Canis lupus familiaris: one gene and its partners. The protein of the gene in region 5 purifies or fractionates together with the protein of the main gene of each other region. This does not show direct contact. Links are inferred from orthologs where the notes say so. Each region holds a gene or a part of one and is shown on either strand. Other genes may lie near its edges.

What was found.
Region 1: the proteins of MAX (region 5) and E2F6 purify together in Homo sapiens (affinity purification with mass spectrometry; 5 studies listed by BioGRID and IntAct, with this or other methods). This does not show direct contact. The link is inferred for Canis lupus familiaris from reciprocal best matches to the Homo sapiens genes MAX and E2F6.
Region 2: the proteins of MAX (region 5) and MNT purify together in Homo sapiens (affinity purification with mass spectrometry; 7 studies listed by BioGRID and IntAct, with this or other methods). This does not show direct contact. The link is inferred for Canis lupus familiaris from reciprocal best matches to the Homo sapiens genes MAX and MNT.
Region 3: the proteins of MAX (region 5) and TFDP1 purify together in Homo sapiens (affinity purification with mass spectrometry; 5 studies listed by BioGRID and IntAct, with this or other methods). This does not show direct contact. The link is inferred for Canis lupus familiaris from reciprocal best matches to the Homo sapiens genes MAX and TFDP1.
Region 4: the proteins of MAX (region 5) and SIN3A purify together in Homo sapiens (affinity purification with mass spectrometry; 3 studies listed by BioGRID and IntAct, with this or other methods). This does not show direct contact. The link is inferred for Canis lupus familiaris from reciprocal best matches to the Homo sapiens genes MAX and SIN3A.
Region 6: the proteins of MAX (region 5) and YAF2 purify together in Homo sapiens (affinity purification with mass spectrometry; 3 studies listed by BioGRID and IntAct, with this or other methods). This does not show direct contact. The link is inferred for Canis lupus familiaris from reciprocal best matches to the Homo sapiens genes MAX and YAF2.
Region 7: the proteins of MAX (region 5) and WDR5 purify together in Homo sapiens (affinity purification with mass spectrometry; 4 studies listed by BioGRID and IntAct, with this or other methods). This does not show direct contact. The link is inferred for Canis lupus familiaris from reciprocal best matches to the Homo sapiens genes MAX and WDR5.

What each region holds. Positions count from the first base shown.
Region 1 is NC_049238.1:8,169,805-8,172,717, forward strand, and holds part of E2F6 (transcription factor E2F6), read right to left. Parts: intron 2,353-2,913; coding exon 2,238-2,352; intron 1,428-2,237; exon of another isoform or gene 1,201-1,427; intron 1-1,200. UniProt on the Homo sapiens protein: Inhibitor of E2F-dependent transcription. Binds DNA cooperatively with DP proteins through the E2 recognition site, 5'-TTTC[CG]CGC-3'. Has a preference for the 5'-TTTCCCGC-3' E2F recognition site.
Region 2 is NC_049230.1:46,424,394-46,428,693, forward strand, and holds the start of MNT (max-binding protein MNT), read right to left. Parts: upstream 2,801-4,300; 5' UTR 2,428-2,800; coding exon 1,772-2,427; exon of another isoform or gene 1,217-1,771; coding exon 1,175-1,216; exon of another isoform or gene 1,156-1,174; intron 1,061-1,155; coding exon 949-1,060; intron 1-948. UniProt on the Homo sapiens protein: Binds DNA as a heterodimer with MAX and represses transcription. Binds to the canonical E box sequence 5'-CACGTG-3' and, with higher affinity, to 5'-CACGCG-3'.
Region 3 is NC_049243.1:61,040,141-61,043,640, forward strand, and holds part of TFDP1 (transcription factor Dp-1), read left to right. Parts: intron 1-3,098; coding exon 3,099-3,220; intron 3,221-3,500. UniProt on the Homo sapiens protein: Can stimulate E2F-dependent transcription.
Region 4 is NC_049251.1:38,711,407-38,714,906, forward strand, and holds part of SIN3A (paired amphipathic helix protein Sin3a), read right to left. Parts: intron 2,501-3,500; coding exon 2,394-2,500; intron 1,690-2,393; coding exon 1,407-1,689; intron 1,031-1,406; exon of another isoform or gene 787-1,030; intron 360-786; coding exon 108-359; intron 1-107. UniProt on the Homo sapiens protein: Acts as a transcriptional repressor. Corepressor for REST. Interacts with MXI1 to repress MYC responsive genes and antagonize MYC oncogenic activities. Also interacts with MXD1-MAX heterodimers to repress transcription by tethering SIN3A to DNA.
Region 5 is NC_049229.1:39,737,504-39,741,623, forward strand, and holds the start of MAX (protein max), read right to left. Parts: upstream 2,801-4,120; 5' UTR 2,786-2,800; coding exon 2,648-2,785; intron 2,510-2,647; coding exon 2,483-2,509; intron 1-2,482. UniProt on the Homo sapiens protein: Transcription regulator. Forms a sequence-specific DNA-binding protein complex with MYC or MAD which recognizes the core sequence 5'-CAC[GA]TG-3'. The MYC:MAX complex is a transcriptional activator, whereas the MAD:MAX complex is a repressor.
Region 6 is NC_049248.1:34,870,834-34,874,829, reverse strand, and holds the start of YAF2 (YY1-associated factor 2), read left to right. Parts: upstream 1-1,196; 5' UTR 1,197-1,329; coding exon 1,330-1,355; intron 1,356-1,746; coding exon 1,747-1,872; intron 1,873-3,996. UniProt on the Homo sapiens protein: Binds to MYC and inhibits MYC-mediated transactivation. Also binds to MYCN and enhances MYCN-dependent transcriptional activation. Increases calpain 2-mediated proteolysis of YY1 in vitro.
Region 7 is NC_049230.1:50,406,245-50,410,221, reverse strand, and holds the start of WDR5 (WD repeat-containing protein 5), read right to left. Parts: upstream 2,801-3,977; 5' UTR 2,739-2,800; intron 2,068-2,738; 5' UTR 1,980-2,067; intron 1,974-1,979; exon of another isoform or gene 1,827-1,973; intron 1-1,826.

The DNA of each region.
Region 1 (2,913 bases), on a different chromosome or scaffold from region 5:
CAGAATTTATATATTTTTTCTGTGAGGTATCAGGAAGTAGGGTGCTTCTACTGAGAATTATGCTTTTTTTCTTTTTGGCCAAAAGATGGGAATGATCCAATTTATGCTAAATTCTTAAGGAACAGTTCCAGTTATGATTCCTTTGTTGTTCTAACCAAAAGAGTGTTCAAGTGTAACACAGTCTGTTCTCTGTCCTTCCATGCAGTGAGGCCAGGACTAGGTATGGACACCATGCTCCCTCCCGCTCCACACATCTCACTGGGATCTCACAACAGGGCTCAGAATTGCAGCTTATCAGAGGCTCACAAAACCTTGTGTCACCTTTTCTGTGGCTTCCTGGGACCACAGGTATGAGAATGAACATCTATGCCCAGGTTCTAGACTGCCAGGAATGGTACAGCGTATACAACTCAAAACATATTACTAAACAAAAGGAAGTGGTATTTTGCTCAGAACTGGCAGCCAACTGAGGACTCCTTACTCCACTGAATCAGAGCTGACAAATGTTTTCCATAAAGGGGGAGATCGTAAACATTTTTTGGCTTTGCAGGCCACACCATCCCTGTCACCACTATACAACTCTGCCATTACAGAGTGAAAGCAGCCAGAGACAACAGTCTAGACAAATGGGAATGTGGCTGTGTCCCAGGGAGATTATGTATAAAAACCTCACAAACCAGATTTGACCCGAGGCCAGTCTATCCACCCTGGCACTAGCTTCCCAGATCTCGCCCTGGATCTCTGTGGGGGCAGATGCCACTGAATGCAGTGTGCTCCTGTCTACTACTCCCACTTATGTGCTGCAGAGTGGCTGCCCCGAGGGCCCATGTTCATCAGCCTTTAAACTGGACTCTAAGTCTTGGGCATGATCCAAAAGCCCAGCAAAATTTGGCAATTACAGCCTGAAGCAGCTCACAGCACAGGGGAAAGAAAACCCCAAAGCCCATCAGTTGCTGTAGCACAGACCATTGTGCCCCAAAGTAAGGATGTGTTGAAAGATTAGTGGCTAATTATAACTTTTTAAACTTTAAAATTCTCTCAAAATGACTCCTATTAAATATGTTACTTAGGAGGCTTAAATCTGAATAAAATAATGAGGAAACATCTCCCAGAAGTCACAACTTGAGTGTGACTAAATTAAAAGCTGCCCCTTAACTGACTTATAATAATACACTGTCAAGTAACAACATGCGTGCTCACTTGGACAGTGCTCTGCGGGGATAAAAGGAGAGATGATGGAGAGTATTCTTCCACTATGAGGGAGGTGAGTCCCTGTAGCAAGCAGAGGACATCACTATGAGCACCGATGGGTCTATCAGGCTGTCAGAACTTGATGATCTGTCCCAAGAAAGGCCACATTCCTTGGTTCTGATTCCATCCTTACCAAGCAACCTTCTGATGACAATTATCTTTCAATACAAACTTCCCTGCAAGGGAAAGAGTGTGCTAAGCAGCTGGCGGCTGACAAAGAGTATTTTCATTCACACAGCAATCTTCCCTTTCATTTTTCATGTAACACTTAGCGTTCTAGTTTAGCCATTAGTCTTTCATGAGCTTGGTTACAGTTAATTCCCCCAGAGCCTTCGCTGATCCCCAGATTTTCCTTCTGGAACTCCAACCATGAGGCCAATTCTTGGTGATTCCTCCAAGGGCATCACAGCATACTCCAGTAGAACACAGGCGCTATGGTGCTTCACAGTTAGTATGTTGATAGGACAGTGATTAAGAACACTCTAAGCCAAACTATCTGGGTTTGGATTCTGATTCTGTCACTTACTGTGTAATCATGAGAAAGTTCATCTTTCTATGCTTCATTCAGACTCCTCACCTTTAAGAGGCCAATAATCATGACTATTTGCTGTGTCACTTGAAACAAGTTAAAATGTGTAAAGTGCATCCAGCAGTGTCAGGTACGCAGCTAATGTGCTCACGACTGTGATAGAGCACTGGCTCAGCAGTTGACTGAATTTTCTCTTTAAAATAACCCTTTTCGGGGATCCCTGGGTGGCTCAGCGGTTTAGTGCCGCCTTCGGCCCAGGGTGTGATCCTGGAGACCCAGGACAGAGTCCCGCATCAGGCTCCCTGCATGGAACCTGCTTCTCCCTCTGCCTGTGTCTCTGCCTCTCTCTCTCTCTGTCTCTCATGGAATAAATAAATAAAATCTTAAATAAATAAATAAAAATAAAAAATTTAAAAATAAAATAAATAAACCCTCTTAGAAATGCAGGGATACCTACTTCTCTTGGAGCTGGAACATCCAATCTGGTTTCTGCAGGAGCCTTCACCGCAATAACGATCTGTTCGTGGAAGGCCTGAATGCTATGAATATCCTGATACGTCACATATGCTAGTGTAAACATCAGTCAAGGGTCTCTAAGCAGAATGCTACTTACTGAGGAGATAATTTCTCTTATGATACATGCATAACAAGTGTAACGTTAGAATCTCTGCAGTTTTTATGGGATACAAACTCACAATTAAGGAAAGCAATTGGTAAAAAATTATTTCATGTATAATTATTTCATGAATAATTCTTAAAATTTTATTTACAATATTTACAGTATCTAAAGAAGCATTCCTTTAAACTCTAGTGTCATTTTGATGATGATAATTTCTGGAGAAAAACATTAATAACGTACAGAAAACAACTCAGGTGAAGGTGTTTACTCCCTGCTTCCACTTCCCTATTCACTGCTGGATCTTACTATGAGAATTTTTGGGGACAAAACACTGTTTTGATGACAATCTCCTAAAATGCAAGTGGAAAAAAATCTAAGAAAGAGCAGAAGCCACTAGGAGAGTATGTGCTTTGGGGCTATCATATACTTATGCGATTTCCTGTATCCCAAATATTTTCCATCTATGTGAATTTTTTTTATCTTTACTGTGTTACTTGAAATTTTACCAATTATG
Region 2 (4,300 bases), on a different chromosome or scaffold from region 5:
CACTGCCCAACGGCTCGGCTCCAACTCGCGTCTCCGCGGCAGCCAAGCGTGGCCGCCCGCCCCACCCCCACAGCCTCCTTCCCGGCACGCGGAAACCTCGGCCGGTTTCCAGGGAAACCGAAACACAGGGCCGTCATGGCAACAGTCTTATCTGGCGGGCGCCCCCCACCCCGTACTGCAGAGGGAAGCCAGTGCCCAAGGCGGGGGGTGGGAGGAGGCACAAGGCCAGGAGGGCCCCTTGAAGAGGCTCTTAAAAATCCAAGCAGGCGGAGAGCTTGGTTTTCAAGGGTTCGGTGACCCCAGGGTTATTTGGTCGCCCAGACCGCCACACTCCCCGGTCTCCAGGTGTCAGCCCCAAACGAGTCGCGGCGCTTCGACGCGCTCGCTGGATCGCAGTCCCTCGGGCTGGAGTGGGGGGCCTCGCCGGCGCGCCGCCTTCCGCCAGGAGCCACGCCCAGGGGACTCCCCACCCCCCCGCGAGCGACACTCCCGGGCCGAGTCCGGCTGCCGCCCAGGCACCGCGGGCGGGGTGGAGGCGCCGGGCCGCTCCCCGCCCTCCTCAGCCGCGGGGGCACCAGCGGCGTCAGGCAGGAGCGCGGGACCGGCCGCCCGGCCGCCGGGTTTGAACACCGAGCTGCGCGGGCGGCGCAGATGGCAGGGCTCGCGGGGCGGCCGGAAGGGGGCTGGGGGAGAGGGGAACGCCGCGGCCGCCCTCCCCCGCGCACGCGCACGCGCCCCCCGCCCCCTCGCGGGCGGGGAGCCCCGCTGACGTCAGCCGAGCCATGTGCTCCGCGCCCGCGTGGAGGCGGGCGGGGGAGCCGGAGGGGGAGGGGGGAGTGAGGGCGGGGCGGGCCGCGGCGAGGGGAAGAGGGCGGGCGGGAGCGGGGAGGAAGCCGGCGCCGCGGCCGCCGCCCGCCCTGCTCTCGGCGGAGCCTCCCTCCCCCATACCTGGATGTACCGCAGCGCCGTCCGCAGCACGCTCAGGTTCGACGTCTTCTTGTCGTCCACGTTGGGGATGTTGCGCTTCAGGGTCTCAAAGCATTCCTTCAGATGGGCCCTCCTGGGGAGAGGGGGAACGCTGGTTGGCCCGCGACTGGGGGGCGGGGAGAAGAGGCCCCAGGGGGGCTTGGGGGACCAAGGGGGGGGCCAGAGGCACGCGCGCACGCACACACACCTGTTCTTCTCCAGTTTGTTGTGGACTTCTCTGGTTCCGATCCTGAAACCCAGACAGGAAGGAAGTTGAGGGAGGAGGGCCCAATTAGGTGGTCTTCTGCCCCCTGCTCCCCACATTCTGTACAAAGCAGCAGTGGGAGATGTTCAGCCTGTGTAGAGGCACATACAGCCCCTGGACGGCACGCGTATGCTCATAAATCACAATCCCTTTAACCCTCCATCTTGCCCTTGTCCACCTGTGAGGAATCGGAGGGCCTCCTGGAGCTCACAGAAATAGCCAGTTGACCCCAGCCCTCACCAAGAGGTCCTCATTCCAATACTCTCGCCAAAGGCCTGGAAATGCCAATGGGCCCATCCCTGAGCAGGTCAGAGAACACAGAAGCCTGACAACAGAGGGCAACAGCCATTACCCACTCCTGGGTGGGGATGGGCACAGGCACAGACCTGTCCAAATACGGATAAGATGCATCTCAGGTGGGGAGGGAGGACATGGCTTTGAAGAACTAGCTTAGGAGGGGCTACTTTCTTTTCCACATGGAGCCCAGAATGTGGGCAGTTCTCCATCCCATCAGCCCGGATTCAGCCACACCTCACTCACCCCCCGGGCCTCTTCTTCTGTTCGCTGGATTTGACTTCTTCGGCTGGTGCCAACTTCAGGGTCCCAAGAGTGGATGGCGGTGGCTGCTGGGGAGCCAGCTGGGTCTGGACTCCAGGGTGAGGTGCTATGGTCAGGATGGGTGTGGGGAGGGGCTGCAAAGGCTTGGGGCTGCCAGTGGGCGGAAGGGTGGTCTTGGAGTCTGGCAGCAGGGGGGCAGGGTTGGGCACCTGTGGCCTGGTGGGCAGGGGAGCAGAGTCCTTAATGCTGAGTCCAGGGGTGCTAACCAGGGCTGGCTGGCGAGGCGCCAGGGGCAAAGGCTGGGCGGCAGGAGGCAGGGGTGGGGGCAGAGGTTGAGGAGAGTTGGTCACGACTGGAATAGGAATGACAGTCAATGGGGTGGGGGTGGCAAGTGGCGGTGGGGGTGCTGGTGGGGGTGCTGGGGGAGACAGAGGTAGGGGTGGCGCTTCAATGCGGGGTTCCTCCACAGGCAGGGCATGGGCCAGCCTGGCCAGGCTGCTGGCCTTCTTCTGCTCTTGCTCCCTCTCCCGCTCCAGGCGAAGCCGCTCCTGCTCCTCTACGCAGAGAGAACACAAGGGATTTCTCAGTGGGCCAGCAGTCCTGGGCCCCAACTTCTGAAGTCTTCCACCATAACACATCTTCTGACTCTGTCCCAATCAGTGCTCAGTGACATGCCTGCTCAGCCTGAGAGACACCCAGCCAGGCACTTGGGCTAAGGGTTGGGAGCACAGCAGTGAAGAGTTTAAACACACCTGGTCTCTGCCTTTGGGGAGCTAGGCCTAGGGGGTGAGGGGAAGGACAAGTAACATAGGATAAGGATCCAGGCTGGAGAGGAGAGGGGCTGTAGAAAAACAGAGCAGGAGGTTGGGGGCCTGGCAGCCTGAAGGTAGAGGGGTTAGACTGGGGCAGGGAGGTTCAGGAACAAGGCTGAGGGTACTGTGGTGACAGATAAGCTGGGCAGAGGCCAGTCAGCAAAAGGCCTCACAGGCCATCATGGAAGAATGGACTAGGGGTGGGACGGGGCGGCAGGCGAGGCGGGGGGGCTGTGCTGGACAGATCATGGCTTCTAGGGAAGGCCTTCAATAGTATTTACAAGTACCTTCCAGAGAGCAGGCAGCATCTTCATTTCAAGATGAAATAAATTAGCTCAGAGAGGCAATGATTTGTTGAGGATCACAGAGCAAGTCACAGGTAAAACTGAAACTAGACCCAGCCAGGAATTCTGACACCTGGCGGAGCCTATACCAGCTGTGTCAGCACGTGCTCACTAGGTGTCTGTCCACACACACACACAAACACACGCGCGCGCGCACCGCTGGGTCCCCACAAGAGTGCACGCCACAGGCAGGGCAGGGACATCACCTTCAGTTCACACATGAGGAAATGAGGCCCAAGACTCCCAAGGTCTGGTTTCCTTAGGGACCCCACAAAACACATTCGGTCCTTCTCTGACCTTTGTGGTCCTATAACTTGTTACACCCAAATGCCCCCGTGTCCCCACCAGCAGCAGCACAACCAGAAAGGTACGAGGCAGGCAGAAAGAAAAGAAAGGCAGCCTTGCACCTGTCAGTTCAGCATCTCTCCTGAAAGCCCTGCTGCAAAGCAAGGCCTGCTCAGGACCTCCCTGAGCACACGGAAAGGGGGAGGGCCCTTCCTGAGCCAGAAGCATCTCTCCACCTCCACCCTGCCCTGCACTCTCCAGGTCCCACAGTTCTGGTTCCCTGGCTCCAGCTGGGAAACCCCAGGCCTGGGAGCAGGCTGGTCAACCAGCCCTCCTGCCTGTCAGGGATTGGCCACACCGCTGCTAACTGATCTGACGCTGCTAGCTGCTAACTGAACGGACAGGTAGTTGGCAGACACGCCTCAAACATACCACCCCACAAGGGGTGGGGCTGGAGGACCAGGTAGGCTCAGAGCCCCCTACGGAGGAGGGCATCAACCCCCAGCGCCCCACGTGTCTCTGGGGCTCAGCCCTTAGGACCACCAACCACTGGAGTGTGAGCCAGGACTGCTCCAAGCCCTTCCCTCCCACAGGGGAGAAGAGGCAAAGGAGGAAGTAGAGAAATGTGAGAGAGGAAGCACTCAGCGGTTTCCCAGCAGCCCTGGCCTCTTCCGTAGCTCCCCAGCCCTTCAGGAAGGGGAGCTGCCAGGCCTGCTCCAAGGAAAGGCCTTCTCTCCTGGGCCTTTCTGTGGCCCCCGCACTGGCTTAGGTTACAGGCCCAGAGAAAAACCAGCTCTCTGCCCTCCAGCTTCCCAGAGAGCACACTAGCCAAGAAGTCTGCGGAGTTCCTCCCGCCAGCTTCCCAGTCCATCCCCCACATTGCTCCCTATCCCACCCCTCTACCCCCCTCCCACCCCATCCCCAAGCAGCTCAGGGCCCGACACACAGCCCACCTTCATGCTTCTGAGCTAGGACCCAAACTTTCACTGGCTTTGGGACCAGTGTTCCACTATCCCATTAGCAGTGGGACTGAGAAGGCCCCAAGCCCCAAGGACAGGTGTCCTGGGAAC
Region 3 (3,500 bases), on a different chromosome or scaffold from region 5:
GGACCAGGCCTGCCTGCAGGTGTGACTGGACAGTGGGGCCTGGCTTAGGCCCGGCAGCTTCCTGGCCTGTGCTGTGTGCCCATGGGTCCCGAGTCTGCCCTGGGGAAGCCGTGTTGAGTTGTGTGTGGGTGGCAGCACCCAGCCTTGACCCTCCTTAGGGTGGACACTCCCTGCCTGGGATGGGGTCCCTGTGGAGCACACAGTGGGCTTAGGGCTCTGTAGACTGTCAGGGTACTGGGACAGGTGTGTCCCTGACTGCCCCACCTGATAAAAGGGGGCAGAGGTGGGTCTGCTCTCCTCAGCCCGTGCTGGGCGCCCCTGTGTATTGATCACCTGTGGGATTCAGTGGGCCCTTCTTGACGGATCTCAGTCAGATTGAAGCCTCCCTGACTCCTGGGCCATGTGTAGCATCAAGAGGAGGGTGTTGACTGCCCACCTGAGCTTGCTCAGATCTGAGCTCCCGGGTAACTGTGGATGCGTCCCGTCACTTAGCCCCCGTCAGTAGGCGTGACTGCTTTTCTTAGAGAGTTGCTGTGATATTTGGCTCATCATAGCTTTTAATAAATGTGTTTTTGATGTAAGTTAAATATTCTGTTTTGTTTTATTCTGTAACTCATTTTATTTTTAGGTACTGTGTATCGGACATAGCTTGGGAATACCTCCTTAATTGAGAATCCATCTCTTTTTGTGGCTGTAGATAGTAGGGAAGAAAATTAACATGCACATTTGTCTGTTGGTGCCTTAAACTTTATCAGACCTAAAGTTACATCTCTGGTTGGAGCCTGGTGGTTTCGGAGTGGAGTTAGAGATGGTAACTCCCTTGTGAAGCCCAGCAGGGTGAGCAGCCGAGTACATGTCCGAATGTCTCTCAACTCCATCTGCCAGGCACTTGAGGACAGAAGGACGGGCGTGTTGTGGCTGCGGAGCCTCGTCTTCATGTGATGTGAGCGTGGCTTGGGCTCATGAGGAGCTTGGGCTGCAGCCCCGCCAGAGTCAGTGCCTGCGGGCACAGTTTGTAGGAGAGGACCAGAGAGAGAACAGCCTTCTGTCATCCAGGGAGGCCATGTTCACTGTGAACGGTTAGTTATTGAGTACCTGCTGTATGCCTGGTCCTCTGACTTTCGTTCTCGTTGTGGACCAGATGCGTGAGGAGGTCCAGCTTAGGGAGAAGACAAGAGCAAGTGTGCTGGCTGTGGGGGCCTGGACCAGGTGTCAGGTAGCCCTCTGGTGATGCTCCTTCCCGTCCGTGTGGGTGTCGGTGTCCTAAATCCATTCTCCTGAGAATGTAGCCAACCAAGTCTGCGTAGTATACGTCCAGGAAGTGCCACGAGTGACAGGGCTCCGTGTTTTCCCAAACTGGTGGCCCTGGGCCTCGGCAGAAGCACGTTCTCCACAGTGACCCAGGGCCCTTTAAATGCATATGTTTATTTAAAAGAATCAGAAGGTTCAGGAGGTGTGCCTCCTCTCTGGGAATTTGTCTCTGTTGACCTCTTTTTTTTTTTTCAGAAAGTATGCTGTTGATTTCATGGCTTTTGAATGAGTGATCCACAGTTTGGAAAACACTGTGATGAATCTGTGATCATTAGAAAATGATCAAGTGTGAATTAAAAGAATGAAATTGAGAACATTTTTCTTTCTGTGGTTTGTGGGTCATTAGCACTGACAGGTGACCTGACCTAGGACAAAGTGCCCAGTCAGCTATCCCACAGCCATGGCAGGTAGCACACTCATCCTGCTAAGAAGGGGCCCAAGGGATGTCCCCCTGGCTGCCCAGTGGACACAGAGAGACCCTAGGGTGCGCCCTGCCCCTGCAAAGGGCTGCCCTAGCACCTGGAGCCTGAGGGTGACTCGTTGGACAGTGGCATAATGGCCCTGGGGCACTCAGCTGTGTAGATGCTGGGATGTCAGGTTTCTTTCTTTTTTTTTTTTCTTTTTCTTTAATAAATTTATTTTTTATTGGAGTTCAATTTGCCAACATATAGAATAACACCCAGTGCTCATCCCGTCAAGTGCCCCCCTCAGTGCCCGTCACCCAGTCACCCTCACTCCCCGCCCACCTCCCCTTCCACCACCCCTAGTTCGTTTCCCAGAGTTAGGAGTCTCTCATGTTCTGTCTCCATTTCTGATATTTCCCACTCATTTTTTCTCCTTTCCCCTTTATTCCCTTTCACTATTTTTTATATTCCCCAAATGAATGAGAACATATAATGTTTGTCCTTCTCCGATTGGGATGTCAGGTTTCTGAACTGTTTCCTGCATCAGCTCTGTGATGTGGGTGGAGACATGTACAAGATCTTAGAAAACTGGGATTTTTACTTGACTATACACAGCAGTGTGTCTGTCCCCCATGGGAATATTTGCATGTTCACAAGACCGAATTCCGAGTCTTTGTCAAAGACAAAGCAGGCTTTCCCTTTCTTCTGTGAAGAGATGGCGTGGGGTGCTCAGACTCAACCACGTGCAGGGCAGGTCACACTGCCGTCCCCAGAGCCACTCTTGCCTGGAGTGTGTCTTTTGCTGCTGGTGCTAACTGCCACCTTCCACTGCAGTGTTTAGGGTGCCAGGTCCCCCATGAAGCCGCTGTTGGGGTGAGGCTCCCACACACGGGTGGGCTGGTGGGGCACCACAAGGCCTGCTCTGTGATCCCTTTGTTCCGAGAGTTTTCCTCTTTGTGTTTTGGTCTCACTTGGGGAGCCCTGAAAGAGAGGGCTTCATCCTTGTCCATGTCCCTGAAGGGAAGGGCAAGTGAACTAGGGCAAGAGGAACAGTGGGGATGTACCCTGAGGCTTACTCTGTAGGTGCCCCCGCTCTCCACCCCCTCCTTGGTGCCTGCTGTTCCGTGGGGCTCGCTGGTGTGGGGGCATTTCCTGCCTCTTCTGGTGAACCCGGGGACACACCTGAGGTCGATGAGGGCACAAGTGCTGATCGATGGCGTCTAACTCAGCAGGGTCAGCTGTCAGGGGCTCACGTGACCGTGTTCTCTGAATTTCTTAGCTAATGGAGCTCAGCAGTGGCTGTAGATGATGGGAAATGTAAAATGGCAGGGTCATATGCGGGACATTTCTGATTGTGTTCTGAATTGTCTCTTTTGACTGTAGGTAATTGGTACGCCTCAGAGACCTGCAGCGCCCAACACTATCGTGGTAGGAAGCCCACACACCCCTAACACTCACTTTGTCTCACAGAACCAGCCTTCAGACCCCTCACCTTGGTCTGCCGGGTGAGCACATTGCCTAGAATTATAACCTCCAGCTCTCTGGGCCATGAGGGCTGGCCGTCATGCCCAGAAAAGATGTAGTCAGGGTACACTTTTCCTCGTAAAGGAGAAGTCTGGCTGCAGGGGGCCGCCTCCCTGCGGTTTGGGGGGAGGGGTCTGCACCATGGAGGGTGGCCAACATGCGATCGGAAGAAGACGAGGAAGCTGGCTTCTCAGCACTTTGGTGACTTTGGCACTTTTTCCGTTTTCTGCACTGGAAAGTAGCATCTAGGGAAGAGTGTGC
Region 4 (3,500 bases), on a different chromosome or scaffold from region 5:
CCAGTAAAACTTAGGGAACATAATAATGGTTATTCAAGTTCTCAGACCAGATGCCCTCAGCATGTGACCTGATTAATTAAGACATGCTGAAAGGGCAACTCTCTTACCTGGTATGTGTGCAAAATTTCCAAAAATGCTTTGTAGATGTCTGGTTGGCCCTGGAACCTGTTCTTGATTTTATTAACATAGTTGATGGCATGATTAAACTCCACAGGCTGATTGTTCTGCAAGGATGGGGCCGTTCCCAACGAGATTGTCACTGGTGTATGAGGCTGGACAGGTGGAGAGCGTGGGGATGCATATGGTGGGAGAGGGGGTGTCTGCTGACTGGCTGGAGTATGTGCTTGTAGTTGGGAAGGCTAAAAAGAAAAAAAGTCATTCTCCTCAGAAATACAGATGGTCTGACATAGGAAAGAAAGGTCAAACTAAAGAGAAACAAGGTGTCTGATCAACAAATGTACTTTATTTACTCTGACCAGGCCAGTTAGCCCAACTCAAATCACACTGGGCAGGCATGGGGAGTGCAAGGGCTCACACTCTCTAATACAGATATTTTTGTTTCAAATTTTCGAAATACAACCTGAGAAGTGGCTACATCTCCAATTACAGGGAAGAATTTTTCTAATGCAATTTTTAAGCTCACTCAACAGGTGCAAACATAATAAGAAAAAAAAAAATCAACCCTTACTCTCCATAGATCTTTAATGTCAAAAGACACTTGTTGCAGAATTCCACATAAAAATCTTCTAAACCACCTCTGTCCAATAGAACTCCAGTGATGGCAATGTTCTTTCATATTGCACTGTCCTATAGAATATAGCCACTAAGCTACCCAGGGCTACTGAGTACTTGAAATGTAGCCAGTACAACTGAGAAACTGAATTTATTTTAATTAGTTTAAATTTAAACACAGCCATATGTGGCTAGAGGCTACTGTATCAGACAGTGCAGTTCTAGAGCAAGTACACACCACCACCATCATCACCACCAGCAACGGGATCTTCTGCTTGGCTTGCCATGACCTAATCTGGTAAATGGAGTGACTTTTATAAAATGATGACCCCGTGGGCAGTAACATAATCTGATTATCAGATGATCATTTCTGCCTGTGCCATCAAAGTACTACTACACAATAAAGTTGCCATCTGTTGGGATGCTCATGGGTTCACAAGGCAGGAGGTGGGGACAAAATAAGTTCTTTATAAGTTATGGATGTGTTGATCTAAACAGATACCTAAGTATGTGGAAGGTAAATGTGAACCATCTTATACCAATGTGACTACTTCAGCTTCTGTGATGAAATCACCACAACTGATGTCTCTAAATTCTATATAAAGGGGAAATATCAAAGGAGGGTGCTTTCTAGGTATGCATTTTACCTGATGCAACGTATTCCAAGTGCTCACCTTGCTGACTTTGGCAGGTGGGGGCTGAGGAGCTGGTTGGGCAGGAGCTGGGGCTGACTGGGCTGAAGGCTGAGAAGGATGCTGGGGTGGTGGCTGAGGCTGGGGCTGGATGCCATGGGTGGGGATCTGATGAACCTGGCCAGGAGTTGTCACATTCACCATGTCATTGGTTTGCACCTCAATCTTGTAGCCAGGGGGCAAGAAGGTATTGAAGCCCATAATCAGGTCGGGATGTCCTTTGAACAGCTGGGACACACGACTAATCACTCCTGGAGTGTCAATGCTGATTAAAACAAAAAACAAAACATGTACATACAAACACACACACACACACACACACACACACCACAAAAAGTTAAAGTGGCAAGCTTTACCAATACCCTAGTAAGAAAAAAATGCACATTCCACTAGGTTCTCTGAATAGGAAAACATGTAAAATCAACCTGCATATCACCAAATCAACAAAATACAAAGAACTCTGAAATTCCAAAGCAATTTTAGCCTCATATTCAAAGAGGTTTGGTCACAATTTTGAACACAACATATATTCACGATAACAGTCCTAACAAGCAGATCCTTAACAGCATATCTAAAGCAGCAACTCCCACGCAGGACCCACTCTCTACCACATGAGGATAAATCATTGTGTGTTCACAGTTTTCACGAGTTACTCTAGCAAGTGAACCACGCCAGAATATTAGCGTACCCTACGTCAACTCCGAGACCAGGTGGGGCTCATCACTATCCTTCTACTTCCCTGATTGAGATGACGTGCTAAGGAAAATTAACCAACAGGGTGAATACAAAGTCCAGGACCCATAATCGTCATCAAGAAAGCAATACATGAAATAAAGACATGATCCTAAAAATTAAACTCCCCAAAAGGAGGCATCCTTTATCTTTCAGCGTACGAAAATAAGCAATATCCTCCCTCCAAAAGCAACATTTCAAGCACAAAGCTTGAATACAACCACATAGATCTTTTACCTCTGAGATTTAAATTCCTTCATGATGTCAAGGAAATCATTGTAGACCTGAGGCTGACTACCAAACTGCAGCTTCACCTGGTCAAGATAGGACAGCGCATCCTCCACCTGAGGCAGGGATAAATCTCAAGGTTATAAAAAGAAAATAAGCCAAGAATTATTTAAAACAAATGATTTATGCCTAAACAAAATTAACATGAAAATAAAATGAAATAAAAATATATAATAAATATACAAGAAAGTATTAAACATTAGTATGGATGCCCATAAAACTCAAGCTTAAAATAAAAATCAATTCATAAAATTTATAGCCTTGCTTTAGATAATTTTGGGGAGAATGATTAGTGAAAAATCATCACATTAATATCATTCACTTATTCATTTCACAAGTATCTACTAAACTACAACATACCGTGCCAGGCCCAACATGAATTACTAAGGAGTCAATGACAAACAAGGCACAGTCCCTGCTCTACAGAAGTTCATTCACATCTAGCCGGGAATCCTGATACAGTAGGGTACGTGGGTGATCACAAAATGCCCAGAGAGCACATGGGAAGGGCACTTCTGCACTAAGAAAAACCTATGGGCACATAAGGGAGGAGGAGGGCTTCCCCAAGAAGTGATGTCTAAACTGAGTCCTAAGGATGAGTACAAGTTAGCCAAAGTGAAGACAGACCTACAAAGTCAGAGGAAGCAGCATGAGCATAATCCCAGACAGGACACCATCTGGTACACTGGGAAAACACAGTTTAGTTTGGCTGAAGGATCTGTGGTGAAGGGGAAGAACGGTGGCAGGAAGAGTGACAAGAGAGGAGACCGAAGAGGAAGCAGGGCCTAGATCCCAAAATGTCCTGCAAATCTTGTTAAAAAACTGTTTAGGGGAGAGGCACATGGGTGGCTCAGTAAGTTAAGCGTCTGACTCCAGCTCAGGTCATGATCTCAGGTTTCTGGGATAAGTCTCCAATCTGGCTCCAAACTCAGTGGGGAGTCGACTTGTCCCTCTGCCCCTCCCCTTGCTCATACTCTTGCACATGCTGTCTCTCTCAAATAAATAAAATCTTTAAAAACAAAACAGAAACAAACAAAAAAGCAGTTTATGGGTGCC
Region 5 (4,120 bases):
TAAAAATATTGTTTGGGATTCAACAAAGCTTACTGGTCACCGGAGAAGCTGTTTTCCGTTTGCACTGAGGCAAGAGAAAAAAATATTCGTCAAATCAGTTTCACTTTCTGTTATACTTAGCCTCACTTCCTAACTGTTCTTGCTGAGAATCTTATATTTCTCACACAACAAGGCTGTACCTATTGTAGTGACATTATAAAACATAAATAAATGTCTCTATTTCCATTAGGACTCACAGAACCTTTTTCCATACAACTTTTTAAAAGTTCTCCAATAGTCCTAAATACTTGGTTGTTCACATCCTTTTCTGAACTAATACAAAGCTTAAGAATAGTTCCCCCAAATTTTAAAAAATATATTTATTATTTATACTAAATGGTGGGAAATTGATGTATTCGCAGAGGGAAAAAACCCAAAATCCATTTTACCCCACTTGTTCACGATAATTGTTTGATATTCTATAAAATTTATCTATTGCTTCTTCTCTCCATACTATGGTGATTATTTTATGCCAGATAATATTTAAAAGTCTCAGCAAGTAGAGGTGTCAAATTAAAAACAGAGGGTCAAATTCACTCCCACTGCCCACCTCCCAAAATCAACGAGAAAAAAAACCTAGGCACCTTACCACCAAACTAAAAATATCTAGAAAAAACAATGACATTAGCATTCTAGGAGAGTGGAAACATTTTAATAATTTAATAAAGCAATTTACATCAATACCCTTGTGGATGGATATTTTGAAAAGCAGAAAGCTTTCAAGAGCTGTAAGCCAAACTTTCACAAAGAAAACTTTCTCTCACTGGAAAGCCAATGTAATTCCAAGTCAAATAATGATTCTGCAAAGCATGCCTAACCAATCCCTATCCTCCAATCCTGATCAAGCCCTGGGGCACATTTTATAACTGGAGACTTGGAAAAAAAAATGTTTTAAATAGACTGGATCCCAAACATGAAACTCCACGTTCACAATAAGGATCACAGTGACTAGAAAAAAAGAACTGAATTTCCAAATAAACACGTAAAGGTAAGTGTCTGACAATATATCAAGGAAAGATAAAACAAACAAACCTTTTATAGTGACTTTTACCCAGGTATAATTTTTAAAATCTTCTGGAACAACTGCATACTCTAGATTTTACAGCAAATATCAGCTCTCAATAAACAATATTTTTTCTTAATGCCTATCTGCATGGACAACCTATAGAAACTTTGCTTGCTCTAAAAAAGAACAGATATAAGGAAGAGGACTTGCTTTTATCCTGGGATACCAGAGGTACCAAAGTGTCATCCTGCATATTCTAACAAGTTCCCAAACAACTTGGATGTCCCAAACATCATTTCAAAAATCAGAAAAATAACATAAAAATCTGGGTTTCTAGACTTTCTTTAAAAATAAGATCTGGAAACAGTGAGCCCTTACTCCCACATAACACCCCCCCCCCACCGGAGTTTAGTGATTGCCTTTTCAGATGAGACATGTGCATTCCAGAACCCAGTCCTCACCTCCACTCTTTATTCCCAACGATCTTACTGCCTGGGCTCCCCAGAGGCATCTGAATTTTTGACCCCCATTCTATAAACTTCGTACTGTTCCCATCGGTCAAATGTTAGACACTCTGATGTATTTCTCTTCCTCTCTCTGACTCTGATTTTTTTTATGTCTATCTTTTTTTTTTTTCTCTAATCTATTCATGGTACTGTCCCAAACTGGAAAGGCATGAGAGTAGTATCTATCCAAATCCACGGAACCGTCTACTGACAACATTAATACCAAACCCTGAGAAATTTACTGATAACATTGCATGTCTCAACCACCACCTTTTAGCAAATCTATCTCTGCAATGCCACCTTTCCTTGACAATTTTTCCATTTTCTTTTATACCTCTCCTTCAACTCAATCAGACCAAAATAAGCAGTTTGTGACGCTTTCATATTCAACCTTTGGTTCCTCTACATTTCTAATTTCTGCATTAGAATGATACCAGGTTGTGCCAGATTCTATAGGTCTACAGCAGTCACATGACCACGTGACTTTTGGTTAAAGATGATTTTTTGCATGTGGCTTCAGCTTCACATAACTGTGCATGTATGGTTTAGAATCTGCTTGTGCCAAACGAAATCTGACCACTTTGCCCCAAAATAATACAATTTACTTCAGAATGACATTTCTCATTTTACACTTACATAGTGACATCTAGATCCCCCACCTGGAAACTACAGAAAGAGTCATTTCTCTGCAAACAGCTCCTTTCACTCACCTACACTCACTGAAACACCGGAGAGTCTAGGATGAGGAGATTTGAAAACCCGCCCCCCCGCCCCCCACCTAGAACCCCAGAAAACTGCCCCGCCTCACCTTAGCGGTTACAGAAGAGTTTACTACAGTATTAAAAACAATAGGACAATCTTTTTCTCTCTGACCCCAAAAAGGACTAGAACTGAACGGAAATGAAAATGAAATGGAGAGTAGGAGACGTACCGCAGATTGAAACCTCGGTTGCTCTTCCTGGAATAAGAGAGAAAAAAAAATAGAAAATATAGAAGTTATTTTTACACTTCACATTCAATAATAAGAAAGAAAATGCCGGCGGCGGAGGAAGCGGCGGGTGGGGAGTCAGCCAGACCCCCCTCCCTCCCTCCTCACCCCACGCCCCCATCCCCCCAGCGGGATCCGGTAGCCGGGCAGGGGGGGTCCCGAGCGCCGCCCCTCCTTCCGGGATCCGACTCCGGCCGGAGGGGGTTCAGAGCACTGTCTCCTCCCCTCGCACCCAGCTCTGGGCATCTGGGCACTCCCACCCCCTCTCCGCCCTCCCTCACCCGCCAGGATCCGTGGGTCACGGGAAGAGGGTGATCGCAACCGAGGGGGGCAGGTCCCGAGCGGCGTCCCCTTCCCCGGGAGCGGACAATGGATCCCGGGCGCACCCTGTCCCGGACCCCCGGATCCTGAGCGGGATAGGGTGGGAGCCGGAGGCAGCAGCACCTTCCTCCACCGGGGGAGGTGGGGGGTCCCAAAGGCCGCGTGTCTCCACCCCACCTCCAGTCCCAGAAGGCCGCTCCGGCTAGGAGCCTGGAGGGGAGCGAGCCCGGAGCGCGGCGGAGGCGGTCCCAGCCGGGGGAGGGGAGGGGAAGGGGAAGGAGGAGGCGGCTGCCCGGCCCCCTGCCGCCGTCGCCCCGCTGAGAGCCCCGGCCGCTGTCCCCGCCTGACAACCCGCACGGGAAGGAAGAAGCCCCGGGACTCACGTCGCTCTCCACCTCGATGTCATCGTTATCGCTCATTTCCTACGGCCCAGGGAGCGGCCACTGCAGCGGCGGCGGGGAAGGGGGAGGGGTGGAGGGGAGGGGGAAGTCACCGACAACAACAAGCCGAGTCCCCCCACACACACACACACACACTCACTCACTCACTCGCTCTCTCACTCACACACACACACACACAACACGGGCGAGAACCACCTCCTCACTGCAGCACCGGATCAACGGCGGCACGCACGCCCGGTCGGCCCCCTGCCACGTGACCCGGTCCGTCACGCTGGGGCCGCCGAGACTTGTAGTTGTCTTCCCTTTGACTGACGGCCCGGCTGGCTCCGGAAAAACTACAAATCCCAAAAGGAGCTGCACACGGCCGTCGCCGGTCCAGCCTGCTGACGGAGCCCAGAGCGCCTGCGTGTCCTGTGGAGGGGGGCGGAGAGCGAAGCGAAGCGGTGTCTGCTGGGAGTTGTAGTCCGCAGACCGCGAGTTGTCAGGAGGTTTTCTTCCAGAGGCTTGCAGAGGAGGCTGCTGGGAAGACAGGACACGTGGAGGGAGCTGGGGCTCCAGGAGCCCGGCACTGTCTGAGCGCCGGGCGCCGGGCCCAGGGGACAGGGTGGAGGCTCTGGGGGAGTAGCTGGCTGCCTAAATAACGCTGCCTCTCCTTGGTGCGACTGGTTTTACTTTGTCTTCCTGATGCCTGAGTCGCTCTGCATTGCGCCCTGGGGCGTAACCCGCTTGGGCCGGGGGGGGGGGGGGGGGTTGCGGGGGGGGGTAGCCTGCTGCGGGGGACCTAGGGGGCGCGGCTCGGAATGCCCACGCGAACCTTTGGGATCTGGCAGTGGGGAGGTGTCAGTAGCAGGTGTTAAGT
Region 6 (3,996 bases), on a different chromosome or scaffold from region 5:
AGAGAAGAGGGAAATATGCAGAAGGAAGCCACACACCTAGGCGAAGGAAGAGTTTTGGGGACTCAATACAAGAGTTTCATCCGCTGTCTTCGCCAGGAGGCAGCTTTTCTGATGGGGGGTGGGTGGGAGGAGGGAGTCGGATAGGGAGAGGGAGGTAGGGAGAAAGTGGAAATTCTTGAATGCCAGGCTCTGGAGTCTGAGAGCCTTTAGCGAACTGCTAGATCGGATGGTGGCCTAACGTCGTCTGCATTTTATTTTCAATCTGGTTGCAGATTACCTAATAGATTGAGGAAGTAGAGCTGGAGCTTCGCGGGGCCAGGTCGACGCATCCGGTATGTGGAGGCAACGAGGCTCGGGAGAGACGTGTTCCTTTCTCAGTCAGCAGCCTCCAGGGAATATGTAAACTCGTTATTTAAAAAAAAAAAAAAAAAAAAAAAGAGAGAGGGAGAGAGAAAGAAAAAGGGTTTATGAGTTTTTTTTTTAAAGCCATTGTAAATAGTGGTGGGGGGGGGGGCAAAAGGATGCATTTGGAATTAAAACCAAGGTTAAAGTCCTGCCTTTGTCATCTTCTCATTATATAATAATACGGGGGAGGTCACCTCACCTCTCTCGGGCCTCGGTTTCGTTTCCTCTAATTTAAGGGCGACGATACCTTCTGGGCAGAGATTCGCGTGCAGAGAAATTGGGATCTCAAGTCCCCGCCCTCCCCCCCCTTAAGGCCCGCGCTCGGGCTGGTTCCCGCCTTCCCCCAGGTGAGCCCCCGGGCGGGGCCGGGCGCGCGGCCCTACCTGAGGAGGCGGCCGGGCTGTCCTCCCGAGCGGGGCGGCCGTCGTCCCGCGGGCTGGCGGGGCGGCGGCGGCAGCACAGCAGCAGCAGCAGCGGCGGCGGCTCCACCTCCTCCTCTTCCTCCTCCTCCGGGAGCCGCCGCCAGCTCGGGCCGTGAGGGGTCACGCGGCGGCCCCGGCGGGGAGGCTGCGGCGGCGGCCGCCCCCGCCGACCGGCCGCGGGCGCTGGGCCGCGCTGGCCGCGTTTGAAGTCTCCGGCGCCGCCGCTGATTGGCCGGCGCGGGTCACGTGCGCCCAGGCAGGAGTTTCCCCGACAGCTGGAGGCTGCGTGGGCTCCGGCGGCGGCGGCGGCGGCGGCGGCGGCGGCGGCTCCCGAGCTCGGCGCTGCGGCCTTCCCCGCCCCCTCCTCCCTCCCTCCTCCTCCTCCTCCTCCTCCTCCTCCTCCTCCTCCCCCGCCCGCTTCCGCCCCGGCTTATTATCCTCCTTATTGACAAACAGAGCGGCGGCGGCGGCGGCGAGCTCGGCGTGCGTCGGTAGCCAAGCCATGGGAGACAAGAAGAGCCCCACCAGGTAACGGGGCCCGGGCGGTGCGCAGGCGGCGGGGCCCGAGCGCCGGGCTTCCCCGGCTCGCTCGCCGCCCGGGCTGCGGGGCCACACCGGGGGCGGCGCCGCTGCCGCTGCCGCTGCCGCTGCCGCGTGTGAGGGGCCGGCGCCGGCCGCCCCACAATGGAGCCGCGATGGCGGCGGCCGCGGGTGTCAGAGCGGCGGCGACTGCGGCCGCGCCCTCCCCCTCGCTGGCTTCCCTCGGGCTCGGGGAGGCGCGGGGCGCGGGGGCCGCGGGGGGCCGCGGGGGGCCGCGGGGTCGCGGGCCTGGGGCGGGCGGGGGCGGGGCGGGGCGCGAGCGCCGGGCGCGGCCTGCCGGTGACCCCGCGCCGCGTCGTGTCCGGGTTGTGTCCTGCAGGCCGAAGCGGCAGCCGAAGCCGTCCTCGGATGAGGGCTACTGGGACTGTAGCGTCTGCACCTTCCGGAACAGCGCCGAGGCCTTCAAGTGCATGATGTGCGATGTGCGGAAGGGCACCTCCACCCGGTGAGTCGCGGGCCTGCCCGGCGCGCCGTCGCCGCCCCCGCCCCTGCGGAGGCCGCCCCTCCCGTGACACCGCAGCCCCGGCGGGAGCGAGGTGGCGGCCGCGACAGGAACTGGGTCACGTTGATCGCGCCCCGAGCCGCGGTTTGCGGCGAGCGGTAATTGAAGAGGCCGGAACGTTACTTTGCTGCCAAGAGAGAATAAATTATTTAAGGCGAGGCATTAGCTCCTGCGATGTAATTCGTATCGCTGGGTGTGATGCCCCCCCCCCCCCCGCCGGCCTCCCATTCCGGGTATAATAATGTTGGCTGCATTGTTGTGTTAGTGTGTAGGAATCAAAGAGAGAGAGAGAAAAAAAAAAAACAAATACCATGAAACACTCTGGAGAAAGCAAAAGGTAGAATTTAATTTCGTTCTTCCAAAAAAAAAAAAAAAAGAAAGAAAAGAAAGAAAAAGTATTTGATTCTAGGAATCAAAGGGGGAAAAAAAAAACCAACCATGAAACACTGGAGAAAGCAAAAGGTAGAATTTAATTTCGTTCTTCAAAAAAAAAAAAAAAAAAAAAAAAAGAAAAAGTATTTGATTCTAGGAATCAAAGGGGGAAAAAAAAAAAAACCAACCATGAGACACTCTGGAGAAAGCAAAAGGTAGAATTTAATTTCGTTCTTCCAAAAAAAAAGAAAAGAAAGAAAAAGTATTTGATTCTAGGAATCAAAGGGGGAAAAAAAAAAAAACCAACCATGAGACACTCTGGAGAAAGCAAAAGGTAGAATTTAATTTCGTTCTTCCAAAAGCAAAGAAAGAAAAAGTATTTGATTCTAGAATACACAATAGGTTGAACTTCCTGTATTTTATATATAGATGTCTGGAACGGTTAGATCAACGTTTCGGTTAGTATTTTTAACCTTATTCTCTAAGATTTTATAAATAGTTGGAGGTGAGCCCGGTCACAGGGACACATTTTTTTTGTTTTTTTACTGAAAGTATCTTGAGTATTTTTAGTTTGATGAAATGGCAATCTATTAGGCTATACAAATGAGATGAAATGATCTCTGCCTATTTTCAGTTTTTATTTTATTGTAGGCCTACAGTATAATAGCTCAGTCTTTAAAAAAACAAACCACTTAGTGGATTAAGTGGATAAAGAAAATCATACAGGAAATTCAAAGTCTGACGTTCTTGATCTGCCAACGCTTCGTTACAGAGTTCCTTCCACTTTATAGGAAAGTAGCCTTGGAATTTATTGTAAGCATGGGATTTATAGCTAATATTTAGATATCATGTGCCTTGATATTAAAAAATAGTCTGTTAGAAACTCAAGGGTATAGGTATACTGATGTGATAGACTGTTGCTTTAAAAAAGGCCTATTTGGTATTGACATTAGATTTATATATTCGGTAGAAGTTAGAATCCTAAAAACGAGATAACCAGGTTTTAAAACACCATTTACAACAATTTATGACTTTTTTTTTTAAAGATAGAGGCAGAATGGTTGGAAATAAATTTTAAGATTTGCTTAGTTAGAAGCTAGCTGCATTTCACATACTTGTCTTTTCATGGATCCTAATATGCTTTTTACATATTAAATCTCATTTACATTGGATAAAATATGTAGAGCATTTTTCATGATATCCTTTAAGAAGCAAACTTTAAAATGTCTAAATTCAAGAAATAGAATAGACCATTAAAAAAAAAAAAAAGCACCTATTTGCTAAAGTGAACATGGCAACAATTTTTGGACCCGTGCTTTAAGTATTTTGAAAAGTAGAATATCTTTATTTTTTTATATAAGGTTGGATTTGGTTTAGAATATATTTGTATATCTATGTTAGTACGTTGTGCTTCTTAAAACACTCAAGCAATTTTCAGAAAATGTGGTTTTTCCAGGCAGGGACTTTTAAAGTGGAGACAATTATTTTATAATCTTAATCTCTGGTACGATGTTGTTGCTTTTTGTTGTTCCCTCTCTATTTTCTTGTAGCCATTAGAAAAAATACTGAAACTAGAAGAGCCTATATGTTTATTTGCAGGGACAGCAAGGAAGGGGGGAAGCTGTTGTCCTACTCCACAGCCAGTCTTGGGGTTAGAGGAACCCTGAGAAAATAGAGTAGGTGGTGGCAGCTCAG
Region 7 (3,977 bases), on a different chromosome or scaffold from region 5:
CAAGCCATATTTTAAAAATTAATTCCCAGCAAAAAGGGTGAAAAACCTTCACCCACCTTGCTGGGCCCTGAGCAGACACACTATTCCAAAATGAGGAACCTATCTGTGGAGCTAAGTCTGCACTAAATACTCTTCAGATGCTAAGACAGGCTGCCCAGGCCCCTTTTGTCCATGTAATCCAAGGCCCCACCTTCAAGGGTGCTCCCTACTGTTATCCTCCTGGTAGGAATGCAGCTCAGGCCAGGCAAACAAAATGCAATTTTCTTCAAAGAGCCCTTGAAACGTAACAAAAAAAAAAAAAACAACCCTAAACCAACCCAAATTACAGGAGACTGAGCTTCAGGGTGTAGAAATTTGGGAACTCGTCCAAATCCTCACAAGTGATGCAACAGTGCTTAACTACCACGTTTGAAAATATACAAGAGCAGACACCCCCCCACCCCCCACCCCCCGCCCCACAGCGGTCTGCATCTCCCAGGGGGCTTCCCTGTCGTCTGGTGTAGACACAAGGCCGCCTCCAGAACCCTGGCAGCTCAAAAGGCGCTCTGTCCCTCGTGAGGCGACTACAAGACACAGCTGAGAAGTGCAAACCAGAGCCAGCCCTGTCTGCTGCTGAAGCCTGAAGTGTACACAGATCGGCTGCAAGCAAGCTCTCGCTGCAGGAGGGGAAAGACCGCAGCTCAATTAGGTTTCAGCGTGACAATGGGAGCTACCCAAGCTGTACAGCAAGCGACTCATTTGCTCTAGCCCAGGAACAGATTCCAGATCCTAGATGCGTCTCCTAGAAGCACACCTGGTGACTCTGAAATGGGGGAACCACCATGGTGTTCTTGCAGACATCACTGGTCATCCAATTCCTGGAAGCTTGCACCACTGTTAATCTAATGGTGTACACGGTGTAAAATTCTAGCTTGGCACTTAAAACTGAAAGCTTGCACGACTCCTTGTCACACCAAGGCAAAATGGAAGTCCATCAAAAAAAAGACCACGTCTTAAAGTCTTTATCCAAAAGGGAAATTACAATGCAACATACTTGTGCAGAGCACAGATGTGGTCCCACTGGCTACCTGTATATAGCAAGGACTTGGGCTTATGCCCAAGGATGGATCCTGCTGCACCCAAAGGCCAAGTCCTGGAGCAGGTCACATAATCACGCCCAGATACAAAAATGCTGGCACAAAGCTGGTGCTCAGCAAATACTAGCTGGTTTGTGAGTAAATTTAGTGCAACCCGGTCATGCCAATTAATCCGAGTGCTGCCTTGCTCTAGGTGGATGGACAAGTGGGGGGCGGGGGGAAGCTATGGAAGACAGCTGGAAAGACTGACTCACAAAACCTAGTATCTGAAGAAGGTATCAGCAAGAGCTAGGAGAGGTGTGGGGGAGAAACAGCAGTGGGAACAGAAGAGACTTCCTCTGGGGGTGACCTGGGCAGCTCAGGGAACCCAGAGCTGCTCCTTTTAACATAAAAATTGAGACCCGCCGGGAGGTGGAGTGTGACTCCCAGCAAACTACCTGCCCTCAAGGTGAGGACTAGAGAATACCACAGCTAATCTCACAGAAGAGGTGTGCGAACCCCTCCCAGCTCCATCAAATCCAATCTGCCAATCCCTTGGGCTAGCAAAACATTAATGTGCAATTTCTTGACTCCATGCCCCCAGTTTCCATTCAAGAGGAGGGAAAGCCTTGCATTGTCCGCGATGCTCAGGGAAAGCAACGGGGCAGCTGCTTAGGGACCGGCCTCCAGAGCACACGCCACCTGACCCCTCTGGGCCCTCACAGGCCTTTCACCCAGGTGAGCCTGACCATCCCAAACCGGGGTGCTCACCTGCACTGCTTGTAAAATGCAGATCCCCGGACTCCACCCGAGACTGGCCCACAGGCAGGTAACCCGGTGACCCGCAGGTGGCCGGACCAAGGGGGCGGGGTGTGCCGCTCTCCCCGCCTGTTTGTTCCGCGCGGAGCTTCCAGCCCAGCTTACCTATCTGCCTTCTGGGAGGGGGCCGGGCCGACCTCGGAGGCAGCGTGTGGCACAGCAGCTGCCAGTGCCGAAGCGCCGGGTAAGGGACCTGGGTGGGCAGAAAGCGGCATGAGAAGGCCACAGGGAGTGTCTCTGCCGTCACCCAAAATGGCTGTGGCACAGCACACTCAGGCGGCGCGGGGCGCTGCGGAGCGGGGTCCCCGGCTGCTGAGGGCGAGCCGCACCTGGGCCCGGCCGCCCGGGCTGGGGGTCAGCAGCAGGGCGCGGCGGGGGGCGTTTCCGCAGAGAGGGGCGCCGCGGTCCGCGCGCCCGGCCAGGACCCCGCCGCCGGGTCTGGGCTCTTTCTTCGGAGCAGCGGCGGAGAGCTCGGGGAGACGCGCGCCGGCTGCAGCAGCAGGTCCCCGGCCCGGCCCGCGCGCTGTCACCGGGCCGCTGGGGGGCCGCAGCGCGGTCGCGGGGGACGCTCGGGAGGGGCTGGCCGCGAGGAGGCGGAGGGGTCGCCGCGGGGCCCGGGCGCGGGCGAGGGCGAGGGCCGCGGGGTGGGCACCGGAAGGGAGGCGGTGGGGGCGCGGGCGCGGCACCGGGAGGGCCCCGGCGGGGCTGGGCCGGGACCTGGGACCTGGGACCCGGGACCCGGGACCCGGGACCTGGGCCCGGCCCGCCGGAACACGTGCGGCGGCGGGGCGGGCCGGGGGGCAGCCGGCGTCGGCCCCCGCCCGCACCCCGTGTGCGGTCTCTGGCCCAGCGGGCCCCGCTTACCTGCCGGCCGCGGCGGCGGGGCGGGCGCTCGGGGCGTCGCGTCGCCGCCGCCTGGGCGGGAGCCGGGCCGAGCTGGACGAGGCGGCGCGGCGGGGGGGGGGGGGGGGGGGGGGAGTGCGCGTGCGCGTGCGCGGGGGGCGGGGCGGCGGCGGGGCGGGGCGAGTGCACAAAGCCGGCCTCTCGGAGGGGCACTACGGGGAGCGGCGAGGGGCACAAGGCCTGGGGCAGGCCCAACGCCTTAAAGGGACGGCGTGCAAAGGGGTAACCTCAAAGTTGGCTGGTGCAGGTCCTTCTTGTGCACTTTCTAAAAACGGAAGTATGATGATACCTCCAGGAAAGTGCCAGTGTGCCCCTCGAAAGTTCACCTCCTGAACGCGGCCTGCAGCGGCGCCTCCAGAAAGCAGCAGGGCTCGCCCCCGGGCGTGCAGGGGAGGCAGGGCCCGAGGGTTCGTGGGAGACCCTCCCTCGGGGATCGCTGCCCCTCTCCGCCGTGGCGCGCAGCTGACCGCCGCAGCCCGTGTGCACCGCAGCCGGCGGCGCTGGTGTCTCCGCGCATGCCCGCCCCGGAAGCCAGGACCGGAGCCAGCAAGGTTGAGGGTGCCGGCTCCCCTGCGCTTCGCCCCCCCCCCCCCACCCCCAGCTCTCCTGCGCGGTCTGCCGGCCACCGCCACCGCCACCGGCAGAGAGCCCCGGCCAGGGACAGTGCAGGGCCGTCCTACCGGCAGTCACCAGGCGCAGGCCGCTCTGCTGTCTGCAAGGTGGGCTCCAGGACAGTTTGTCATGGCCGGGTACACACGAGGAAGGGGAACCCCAGAGGAGAGGGCTCGTGCAAACGGAGAGCCTGCAGCCCGCCTTCTGGCCCAAGTCCTGTGTGTTCTCATCCCGTTGGGGGGGGGGGGGGGGACACGACAACGACACGCGGGCCTTACAGTCCTGGAGGCAGTCTTCAGCTCCCAGGCCCCAACCCCCATCCCAGGCAGCATCACCTGCAGTCTTATTTCCCAATTAAGGACGGAAACACCAAATATGTGGCAGGAACCTGTGCTAACAAGAGGACATCATGTAAAAAGGAAATGCCCAGGGAACAAGGTGTGTGGTTGTCCAGGACACAAGCTGAGACAGGCTGCTGGTCTGCAGGCCACTCCCAAGGAGCATCGTGTGGCGCCAAGTCTCTGGCCCTGGCGTGGCGCTGTGTGGATCTCTGTTCCTGGGAGCCTAGTCACCTTGGGCCACCTTTGT